Ovis aries: one gene and its partners. The protein of the gene in region 2 interacts with the protein of the main gene of each other region in a pairwise test. Links are inferred from orthologs where the notes say so. Each region holds a gene or a part of one and is shown on either strand. Other genes may lie near its edges. The genes, in order: AKAP7, SPA17 and MYL6B.

Evidence for each region.
Region 1: the proteins of SPA17 (region 2) and AKAP7 interact in a two-hybrid assay, tested with the Homo sapiens proteins (3 studies listed by BioGRID and IntAct). The two-hybrid records come from large-scale screens. The link is inferred for Ovis aries from reciprocal best matches to the Homo sapiens genes SPA17 and AKAP7.
Region 3: the proteins of SPA17 (region 2) and MYL6B interact in binary tests that used the Homo sapiens proteins (3 or more experiments, as listed by UniProt). The two-hybrid records come from large-scale screens. The link is inferred for Ovis aries from reciprocal best matches to the Homo sapiens genes SPA17 and MYL6B.

Annotation. Positions count from the first base shown.
Region 1 is NC_056061.1:56,739,901-56,743,551, forward strand, and holds part of AKAP7 (A-kinase anchoring protein 7), read left to right. Parts: intron 1-2,711; coding exon 2,712-2,859; exon of another isoform or gene 2,860-3,651. UniProt on the Homo sapiens protein: Probably targets cAMP-dependent protein kinase (PKA) to the cellular membrane or cytoskeletal structures.
Region 2 is NC_056074.1:25,615,365-25,619,015, forward strand, and holds part of SPA17 (sperm surface protein Sp17), read left to right. Parts: intron 1-386; coding exon 387-457; intron 458-2,220; coding exon 2,221-2,295; intron 2,296-3,651. UniProt on the Homo sapiens protein: Sperm surface zona pellucida binding protein. Helps to bind spermatozoa to the zona pellucida with high affinity. Might function in binding zona pellucida and carbohydrates.
Region 3 is NC_056056.1:163,382,400-163,386,641, forward strand, and holds MYL6B (myosin light chain 6B), read right to left. Parts: upstream 2,946-4,242; 5' UTR 2,919-2,945; coding exon 2,736-2,918; intron 2,015-2,735; coding exon 1,987-2,014; intron 1,774-1,986; coding exon 1,630-1,773; intron 1,411-1,629; coding exon 1,237-1,410; intron 711-1,236; coding exon 633-710; intron 479-632; coding exon 450-478; 3' UTR 441-449; intron 303-440; 3' UTR 206-302; downstream 1-205. UniProt on the Homo sapiens protein: Regulatory light chain of myosin. Does not bind calcium.

The DNA of each region.
Region 1 (3,651 bases), on a different chromosome or scaffold from region 2:
CAAGTATACTGGAGTGGGTTGCTATTTCATTCTCCAGGGGATCTTCCCAACCCAGGAATTGAACCCGGGTCTCCTGCATTGCAGGCAGATTCTTTACCGACTAAGCTATTAGGGAAGCCCATAAGCTATAAGGGACTGAGGATATTTCAGAGAATAAAAATCAGACAAAAATCCTTGTGTGGAGCTCCTATTCTAATGGAGAAAGACAGCGAAAGACAGACAGTGACATAAACATGAACTACATAATATGTTAGAAGATGGTAAGTGCTATGGAGAAACATAAGTATGTATAGGGGGAGAAAAAGAGAAAGGATTTGGGAGGACTGCTTGGGGAGGAGGGATGGCATGGTTAAGTGAAGCCCTATTGTTCAGTTGCTAAGTTGTATCTGACTCTTTACAACCCTATGGACTGCAGCCCACTAGGCCTCCCTGTCCCTCATTATCTCCTGGAGTTTGCACAAGTTCATGTCTGTTGAATCGGTGATACTATCCAACCATCTCATCCTCTGCTGCCCTCTTCTCCTTTTGCCTTCAATCCTTCCCAGCATCAGGGTCTTTTCCAGTGAATCATCTGTTTGTATCGGGTGGCCAAAGTATTGGAACTTCAGCTACAGCATTAGTCCTTCCATTGAGCATTCAGGGTTGATTTCTCTTAAGATTGACTGGTTTGATCTCCTTGCTATTCAAGGGGGTCTCAAGAATCTTCTCTTGCACCACAATTCAAAAGCATCAATTCTTAGGTATCTTCTTATATAAAAAGGTAATAAGTGAAGCCCTATTAAGAAAGTAATATTTGAGCAGAGAACTAAAGGAGATGAGGATGGATGATAAAGATATCTGGGGGAGGAGCGTTTCAGGAGGTGGGGACAGGTGGCACAGGGACTGTGAGGTGGGTTCCGCCTGGCTTGTTCACAGAAGAGCGAGGAGGCTGGGGAGGCTGCTGAGGGATGAAGGCGAGAGTGGTGGACACGAGGCCCATGAGGTCCAGAGACAGCAGATCAGGACCCTGCAGGCTGGTTGGGGCAGTTTGGCTCCTCTGAGAAAAATGGAGACCTTTTGGAGGATTTTGAGCAGAGGATGACATGATCTGGGTGTATGTTTTCATAGGATCAGTTTGACTTCCAAAGAGAAAACAGTGGGAAAACAGTTAGGAAGCTCTTGGGGTAATTGAGGTGAAAGAAACAGAAGTGCTTGGACAGAGGTGGCAGGGGAGTGGTAAGAACTGGGTGTGTTTTAAAGGTAGAGCCAACGCGATATGATTGGAAGTAGGGCTAAGGGAAAGAGGAGAATCAAGGATGACCCCAAGGTTTTCAGCCTGATCAAGTCGAACATGGTTGCTGTTAACTGAGGTGGGGAAGTCTGACTGAAGTGGTTAGGAAAGATCAGGAGCTCAGTTGAAACACATAGCTCAACAAAACCATGTTATATGTATATGTGTATATATATATATATGTATATATATATATTTTTTTTTTTTTTGGCTGAGGCATGTAGGACCTTAACTCCCCAACATGTTCAACAATAAAGAATTGAGTGAATAAATTATATCTCCATCTAATGGAATACTATGAAAATATAAAAATATTTTTCACATTTATTTATTACTTATCAATTTAACATATTAACTGAAAAAAGCTGATTATCAGATAATACTCATGGTACAACTCATGCATAGGAAAAATAAAATACATAAAATTTTAGTAGTAGTTTGGTGTGTTTTAATTTGTTTTCTATCTGCATTTAAAATTTTTTTGTGATTTTTGTGAATAAAAAGGGAAAGTACGTATTCTAATTATACTTTAGTAAGATTTATGTAAGTATAATTTGAAAATAACATACATGCATAGAGAAAGACTTGAAGAATATATATATCACAGGGTTAATGTATTTTATTAATATATAAATAACAGGGTCATAAATGATTTTTCATTTTCTTTTTTTTCTATATTCTTTATATTTTCTGAGTTTCAGAAATGACAGGTATTTCCAGGGCAATGTAAATGTATATATATACATTAAAAGGAAAAGTTTGCACATGGCCAGCTAGTAAACTTGCCCTGTAAAGTACTGTATCTTCATCTCAATGACTGTGTTTTGGGACTATGAGGCAGGCATAGGACCATGTATAGTAAGGGGAGAGGGAGACATTCTTTCCCATGTTTGGGGGAACTACCAAGTTACTAATTTTTTGGCAACAAGCCCTATTTCTGCTATGAAAGCACACAGAATCAGGAGGGGCAGGTGGAGAAAAACTTGGAAGACCTATTGACTCCAATTTGAATAGCCTTTAATTGTCTTTCAGATGAGTCTTACATAAGGAATTTAAAAATTACATCCATTTATTAAAATGGATGCAAATGTTACGTTCTACACACTATAAAATGTTAGGTTCCATGTCACTGAAAAATTCTCCCATTTCTCCATTGTCTTTGGAGATGATTTCTCTTTGCTGGATATCTCAAATTTCAACTTGATATACCTTATTATTTTTGCTCAACACTCTTCAATTTGAAAAAAAAAAATACAACTCATTCCAGGCAGAGAGACTTTAAAAACAACTTTACAGCAATTTTGTGGTATCCATTTTCAGATGCCAGCAGGCAGGACTGTATATCAAAATGTACTATCAGGTTCTAAGAAAGTGATAAAGATATGAATTGGTTGCCTAAATGAGATGATTGATTGATGTGATTTTGTCTTGTCATTTCAAGGGAGTGAAAAAAATAGACCCCAAATTGTACGAAAAATTTATCGGCCATAGATTTGGAGAAGAAGTGGTACATTGTATAGATCTTTGCTCCATGCTGAAGAAAAAGCAAAGTAATGGCTATTATCACTGTGAGTCTTCAATTGTAATTGGTGAGTGGCATTTAAAAATTATCTTTGGTTTTGATTTTTCAGCATCATTTTGTTTTGGCAATTGTTTATGTTGTATGTTTTTCTCAGTGACATATTTTCCTAAACATTATGTTTTGACAATAATACATTAAACATTTTGTGGAACATAGTTAGTATTTATATTTATCAGTCAAGATTTAAGTACCTATAGTTTTTATACTTCTGTGCTTTAAAATATAATCATCATGAAGTCTTGAAATGTTGATTCAACATTCATTTCAGTGTAATTTTATTTTGTGAATATGAAGAAAGCATTTTCATCAGTGAAGGCCTATATGATCACAGCCTTCTATGCCAGGTATTTTCATCTTTGCTGCTTTTAATTGGGAATAGACTATGCCAGGCCAGAAAGTTTCACTCTGAGAAGAAAAAGCATAGGTGGCCTGCAGAGACTGAAAACTTGTCTTTCAATTTCTTCCTTAAGAAAAATATGTTTTGAGGGGAGACCAAGATTCATGCATAAATGCTCTGTCATCTTATGAGGGAGATGGCTTGTGATGAGACAGATTCATACACGGTTATGTTTCCAAGTAGAGCATGTACACCAAAGGAAGAATGTGAAAAACCAGAACAGGGGTATTTCTCGTTTGCAATGTGGCTGTCTTTCAAAGGAACCTGATCTGTTGTGATTGAAATTTACTATTTCAAACTGGGCAATCTTCTTATAAAATTGTGAACTTCAAGACAACATCATTTGTATACTTTTTAAGTGATGTGAAAATGGAGAAGATAAAAACATGTATCTAAATATCT
Region 2 (3,651 bases):
CTATTCACCATTTATTTTTATACATTTATCTTATGTTTACTAATACATAATAAGTTTCTATAAGTATATAATAATACATTTCTATACTGATATTTAAGTAGTGGCATTTGTTCTCTACCACTCCCATTTTATTATAACTTCTATGAAAGCATCAAGTAGGTTTTTTAACTGCCTGCCTTTCTAAATATCCTCAAGGGTTCATCTGATGTTTAATTCATCATCATCACTGGTTATATCTGCAGCACTAGGCTCTGTACAATGTCAATAAAATTTTCAAGGGTCAGTAAAGGACCTATAATTTGAAAAAGAAAGCAGTTTATGTTACTAGTCTGCATTTACTTTAATGAACTTCAAAGTAAGTCTGGAATTATATTTTTGTTATTTAGAAACCAGCTTTGATCCAGCAGAATGGGGGGCTAAGGTTGATGACCGCTTCTATAACAACCATGCATTCAAGGTATGGTCCTGATAAGCTTTTGGATTTGGTTAATACTTCTCTCTGTCTCCAGTACAGAGATCGCCTAATCATGAATATTGTGAAAGGCATTACAAATACCTTATGAAGTCTTTTTAATTGTGCTATTCTTAATGGAAATAAATTCTTTTCTAAGGTATCTGAATCGTGTACCATACTGAGCTTAAATTTATAGATGATCAACAGGAGAAATGTACTTGAAAGAGATAGAATAATTACTTTCACTTATTGTGCAAATGTTATTATCACAGTGCTTATCAATAGCAGATGTGCAATAAACAGTGGTTGAACTAATGAATGCTATTTCATAAAATAAAACACATAAAACAATTATTCATTATTGTTGATACCTTACAAAAGACTGAATAGAATTAAAGATGGTATAGAGCCTTCTCTATTAAGCCAATCTATTCAGAGTCTGAACCCATCTTCTCAGTAGCATTCTCAGAACCAGTCTTTCTCAACCAAGGCTCCTCGAAATAATTAAGCCCTAAGCCTAAGGCATCCATTGCATGTCAGGCATCAATGTCTCTCCTTTGTATCTAGAATGATTATGTTTATGTACCATCCTTGGGAAAACTGAGAAAATAATCACTTAAAGCATTCTATGTTTTATGACTCCAATGAGAAACACTGGTTGAGAAAGGCCATGTGTAATCTAGCGTCTTTGGCACCAACTTGGAACTTGGTGGAAATTCAATCTCAAGCTCTACCCCAGGTCTACCAAATCAGAAGTTAAATTTTAACAAGATCCACAAAGTAACTTGTAGGTACGCCAGAATCTGGATGTAGCCTGAGAAGCACTACTTTAGACAACTACGATAATACTTTAGCCATGAAGCATCAGCAGGTACTAGAATTAGAAAACAAAGGTCAAATTTTGATGATATTACAGAGTAGATTTGGGGGATTTTCTGGGCAAATCCCACTGAGACTTATTCTATGAGTTCAAAAGTGAAGTTCCATCCATTTGTGCCTGCCAGACATAGAGGTGTTCTTTTTATTTCCATCTAACTAGATTCTCTGTGTTCCTTTTTTATTGAAAACAAAGGAATAATGTTGAAAATTTTTTAATCTTAAGTCACATAGCAATTTTAGATTAATTTTTCTTCTCTTTTGAATCCTAAAGGCTTTATTTGATTAGCTTATAAGTCCTTAAATTTATGTTTTATGAATTAAAGAAGCTCTCCCCATAGGTTGTGAATTAACAATGCTGCTCTTCTGGAGGAAGATTTCAGTAACCATGTCAAGATAGAACTGGTTTCCTTTTTTTCTATTTAAATCCTTCCCCACAGCAAAACTTACTTTTTTGACTTAGTTTTTACTTTGCAAACTTCATTAAAAAGTCAACTTGACTTCACATTATGGAACAAAATAGGATTTATTTCATTTCTATTTGAGGAACTATTGGCATCTCTTTTTTATTCTTTGTTTAAGGTTCATTACAGCATCATATGAAGTTTTAGTATAAGACAATGGCTTGTTTTTAATATAAAACAATATTACACACATTCCAAAAGCAGAAGGTCAAACTTTTTTTAACCAGTTCCTTGGTCTTATTATTTGTTTATGCTATTCCCTTGAGAGTTTTCTTTGTTTATCCAACCAGCTTTCTTTGTTTAAAAATATGTATTTAATTTCTAGTACTTATCAATAATTTAATCTTTAATCACCTTTAAAGAGTTTGATCCAAGACTTTATTGTTTTGGAAACATTACCTATTTGGACCTCTCCCCTCTCTCCAGGAGCAAGAATCGCCTGAAAAACATGAGCCTGGAAAAGAAAATTCTCAGACATCTGTGAAAGAGAAGACAGCCTTAGTAAGTTATATTTTCCATGTACTGTTGGGTTCCTACAAAAAAAAATGACTTCACTCAATTTAAAATTATACTTCAAATATGAATCCAGTCTCATCCATATTGCTAAAATAATGAGAAACCTGTATGCAGGTCAGGAAGCAACAGTTAGAACTGGACATGGAACAACAGACTGGTTCCAAATAGGAAAATGAGTACGTCAAGGCTATATATTGTCACCCTGCTTATTTAGCTTATATGCAGAGTACATCATGAGAAATGCTGGGCTGGATGAAGCACAAACTGGAATCAAGATTGCTGGGAGAAATATCAATAACCTCAGATATGCAGATGATACCACCCTTATGGCAGAAAGTGAAGAACTAAAAAGCCTCTTTCTTGATGAAAATGAAAGAGAAGAGTGAAAAAGTTGGCTTAAAGCTCAACATTCAGAAAACGAAGATCATGGCATCCAGTCCAATCACTTCATGGCAAATAGATGAGGAGACAGTGGAAACTGGCTGACTTTATTTTGGGGGGCTCCAAAATCACTGCAGATGGTGATTGCAGCCATGAAATTAAAAGACACTTGCACCTTGAAAGGAAAGTTATGACCAACCTAGACAACATATTAAAAAGCAGAGACGTTACTTTGTCAACAAAGATCCATCTAGTCAAGGCTGTGATTTTTCCAGTGGTCATGTTGAAGCTGAAACTCCAATACTTTGGCCACCTGATAAGAAGAGCTGACTCATCTGAAAAGACCCTGATGGTGGGAAAGATTGAGGGCAGGAGGAGAAGGGGACAATAGAGGATGAGATGGTTGGATGGCATCACTGACACAATGGACATGGGTTTGTGTGGACTCTGGGAGTTGGTAATGAACCGGGAGGCCTGGGGTGCTGCGATTTATGAGGTCGCAAAGAGTCAGACGTGACTGAACTGAACTGAACTGAAAATAATGATTTTGCTTTCTAGATAACTAGCAACAGTGACGTACTAACTGCTGGATCATTTTTAGCCCTGCCTCTTATAAAGAAAACTATTCTTCTGCTTATAAAGAAAATCTTATTTTCCAAGATTGTCAACAGATGGGAAAAATCTCCCCAAGGGGAAGAACAGACCAAAATCACAGTCTCAGCCTTGATCGTTCAGATTCCTCTTCCACTGGGGGAACTTTTCACTAATCGAGGCTGCCCCCACCACACAGTGGTAAAGGTTCAGACATAACAAAGGAAATTTGTTATGGGGAAATTATTCTCATGGGGAATTACTTATTACAGTCAAATTAAATGGCTTCACTCAGTGAGTCCTACTCATCTTCCATACATTTCACTGTACAAAATTCTGCCTAATGGCCTACATCCAAGCAATAGTGGG
Region 3 (4,242 bases), on a different chromosome or scaffold from region 2:
AGTGGGCGGGGGCCAACTGGTGTTCAAGTCTCCAGAATAGCCCTACCTGGGGCACAGAAACTGCAGAACAAGGTGGAATGGGGCGCAAGGAATCTGCTCCTCCGAGCAGCGAGAAAGTCAGAGGAGGTCGCATTGGTGGGTGCGGGTGGGAAGAGGAGCCCTCCCTTTCCCTCCCCCACCTCTAAAGAAAGCAAGAGTCGGAAGCTAAGGGAGGAAACGTCTCTTTATTTTGAAACAATAGCCTCCTAGTGGCAGGAACGTGCTTTTGCCTGGTGGGAGCCCAGCGTCCGACGCCACTGCACCTGTGGAAAAAGATGAACGTTGCCAAATCCTGCCGCTGTCGGCGCAGCAAGACACGGAAATGCACTTCCTTGCTTTTGTACGCAGGCAGAGGGACAAGAAGGAGGCTTGCCTCCCAAGGCGCAGTGAGAGTGCCGTACCTGCATTGCTCAGACGCTTAGGATGTGCTTCAGGAAGGCTGCAGAGAGAAGAGGCAAGAGGGGCTTCAGAAGCTGGCCTGATGATAACCCATCTGACTTTAGATAATTCAGGCTTCAGGATGCCTCCACCCACATACCTCGGGCCTCCTGCCTCCCTCTTCCCCAGTCGTTTCTGCTCCTCTGGCCCCTCACCTTCATAGTTGATGCAGCCACTGCTGTCCTCATGTCCTGCCAAAACAGACTCCACCTCCTCTTCAGTCATCCTCTCTCCTGGGCCCAGACACAGTGTTTTAGCCCCTGCCTTCCCTCCCTTATCAACCCATGCCTCTTTCTTCTGGTGGCACCTCCTCTTCTCCCACCCTGGAGACTTGCCCATAGTAACAGTCCCCCAAGAGAATTCCCTCTTTGTAGTGGGCATGCCTTGAATGTGTCTCTGAATCTTGCTTTCCATTTCACCTCAATTATAGGTGGTGAAAGCTTTGACAGACAAGGAAACTGAATTCCAGAGGATTAAAAAACAGACCATATCATAGAGTACAGCCATCTCTTCCTAAGACTGAAACTCAGATTTCCCACCTCGTTCCCTTTCCTCTGCCCTTTGGGAGACAGCTGCAGCCCACTCACTTTAGACTGAAGGAGGAAGACCTTCAGATCCTGTCCCTAAGGCTCTGACCTTCTCAGTCTCCTGCCCATGACCCATAGGACAGTAATCCCTCACTGGCTCTGCTTACTTGGCTAACCTTCTTAGTTCATCCCCTCCTCTCAACACCCCCAGGAGTTCTGGTCCCTGTCTCACCCAGGGTGGTGAGGACATGTCTGAGCTCAGCTCCCATGACTTTGCCATTCTGCTCTTTGTCAAACACCCGAAGCCCCTCCAGGTAGTCCTGGTATGAGCCTCGGTCTGGCAACTTGGCGACTGCCTGAAGCATGGGCAGGAAAGTCTCAAAGTCCACACGCCGGGACTTCAGCTCTGGAGATAGAGAGGTGAAGGAGAGGTTACTACAGTGTCACCTAGGACCCAACTCCCATCCCCACCATGAAGGGTTTCATCTGTTCAACATTCAGATATTTTTCTGCCCTTATGTTTGACAGTTTTTAAAGTCCTGGGACCCACCTCAGCATCCTTTATCACCTTACCAACATTCCACCACCAAACTGAAAACCCGCATTGTCCCAGAGGTGCCCTCACCATCACTCTTGGGGTATCCCATGACCCTGAGCACCTCGGCGTTGGTGGGGTTCTGGCCCAGAGCCCTCATCACGTCCCCACACTGGCTGAACTGGATCTTGCCATCCCCCACTCGGTCATACAGCTCGAAGGCCTCCTTGAACTCTGAAGTGTAAGGAGAGGTCAGTGTTGACAAGGGGTTCCCATCACCACCAACAGAAAGGAAATTCAGAAACAATGTGCTTGAGCTGGGCAGAACAGAGAACACAAGGAGCACTAGTGTGGGAGGTTTCAAGGTCGGGAATAGAGGTAGGGGAATAGAAAGAGGATCTGACTAGGGACTTGGGATGGACAGTGGGATCAGTGGCGTCTCCTCACCCTCCAGCTGGTCCTTGTTAAACTCGATCTGTGGAAGAGAAGAGCATGTGAGGAGAGATGACAGGACTCACTCAATCCCTCTCCAGCACTCCTCCCGACCAACTGGCAGCCACTTCAGGGGAGGGGCCCATAGGGACCAGGCTGGGAACCCAGCCATCTCAGTCCCATTCCCAGCTCCAGAACTTGGGAGAATCCCAAGAGGAGGAATTATTGGGGGGAGGGTTTCCTGGGAACAGGGTTAATCCCATGCCACCTGTTCCCCTCCCTCTACTGCCCTGAGCCCTGCATCCCTCACATAACTGGGGGCTGAACAAAGGCTAAATTTACCCCTGGCCCCCAGCTGTGATTGTCTAACAAGTCTGTCCTCTTCAGCCTTCCCTCCTGGGGTTCAGAGCTGTGGCTTTTCATATTGAATAATCAGACAGGCACAGGCAGCAGCTCCCCCCTTTCACCTTGAAACTGTCCTCAGAACCCAGATGTTCCCCATCTTACAGGCTCTGCCTCCAGCAGTACAGTGAGAAAGTGATGTACATACACACACATGTTATTGGTTAGAGGCAGAGGGCAACAAAGACAATAGAGTCATTAAGCTTAGATGCTTCCGGCGGGGGGTGGGGGGTACTAAGAAAACCCCCCACCATCATCCAGTGCTTACTGATTCCCTACCTTCTAGATACCTGCAGTCCCCTAGGCTACATCCCACTGTTGTACCGACTCCTCCATTCTCTTCTCACTTTTCAGGGACTTACCACCACTTTGGAGAGATCGATGGGGGGCTCCTGGGGTTTCGCAGGTTTCTCAATGATTAGAGGGACAGGTGGTGGTAGCTCAACCCTGGATGGAGGGGGCCCTACTGCGGGCTTAGCAGCAGGCTTGGAGGCAGCAGGGGGCCCCACTGGCTTCTTCACGGGAACATCCTTCTTGGGAGGCATGATGTCGGGTGGCCAAAGGACAGTGTGCCGATGGGGGCACCCATCTCTGTTTAAATAGCCAGGGAGTCTGGGATGTCAAGGGGCGGGGGCAGGGGCAGGGAGCCAGTTGGCTGGGGGGAGGGTGAGATAGAGGAGAGGTATGCCGGCTGCCCTCACTCCCCTGGCCTTGTGTGGTTCAGGACTCCTGCCCCAAGGTCTTCTCCCTTCTGTCCACCCCGCCCCAAATACTGACCAGAACAATGGCCCTTTGGGGGCCGGGGGAGGAAGTCAGAGACGGCCCAGAACGGGGGGGGGGGGGGGGGGGGGGAGTTAACTTTCAGGGTGCAGATAAGAGGGTTGCCAGGGGCAAACTGAAACAGGGGTGAGGAAGAGAAGGGGACCCAGAAAATTCCGACCCCCTGACTCGGAATAGTCCTTTTTCCTAGCAGCTTTAGACTCTTGAAGATGGAGGCAAGGATGGGGGCCTTATTAAAGGGGGGTCTGGGAGTAGTGAAAGAGGTAAAAAACAAGCAGGTCTTCCACTTCCCTCTTCCTATGGATGAGGAGCATGGTAGTTCACCCCACAGCTTATAATACTCGGTACCTCAAGTCCCTAACCCCCTCCCTCCCAGCCCAGAACTGGAACTGTGCACTGCACGATACGGAGAAAGAATAGTAATAGAAAGGCGTGACTCCCACCGATTGTCTCCTAGCCCCAGTGTTGTTTTAAGAGTGGGGATGGAGGGAAGGATTGAGTTCAATACCCATCACCCATACTCCGAAGAAAGGAACCCTTGTCCACAAGCCTATGGTCATTCAAGTCAGACAAATACGGGTGCCTGCTGAACCTGTAGGGACTCCATGGTGGCACCTGAGGGGAAAGGCAGGCTCTGAGAGGCAAAGGGCCTAATTTCTAAAATCTCTAATCCGTAAAGATGTGTGAGGTCCTCTGGGCTCCATGAGTATTCAATCCTCAACCAGAAGGATAATAAGACCCTGACTTGGCAGCCAGGTTGCAAACCTTGCTGTGGGCACTGGGGAAAGGTGGAAGTCAGGGGCCTATGAAAGAGGGGAGGGTTTGCTGGTTATTTTTGTACTGGGGGTAAAAAAGGCGATGATTTAGACAGCATTCTGAGGAAGACAGTAGTGATTCCATTTAGGGGTTTAGAGAGTTGATGCTGGGTCTCCCACTCGCAAAAAAAAAAAAAAAAACCATCTGAACCTCATTACTGCAAATCGTCTCATTTTAGGAAAATCAGAATCTCTCCTCTAGCCAGGAGTACCTCACACACATACACACACACACCCCTACACATACACACCCCTAAGCCTTAAATAAAGGAAC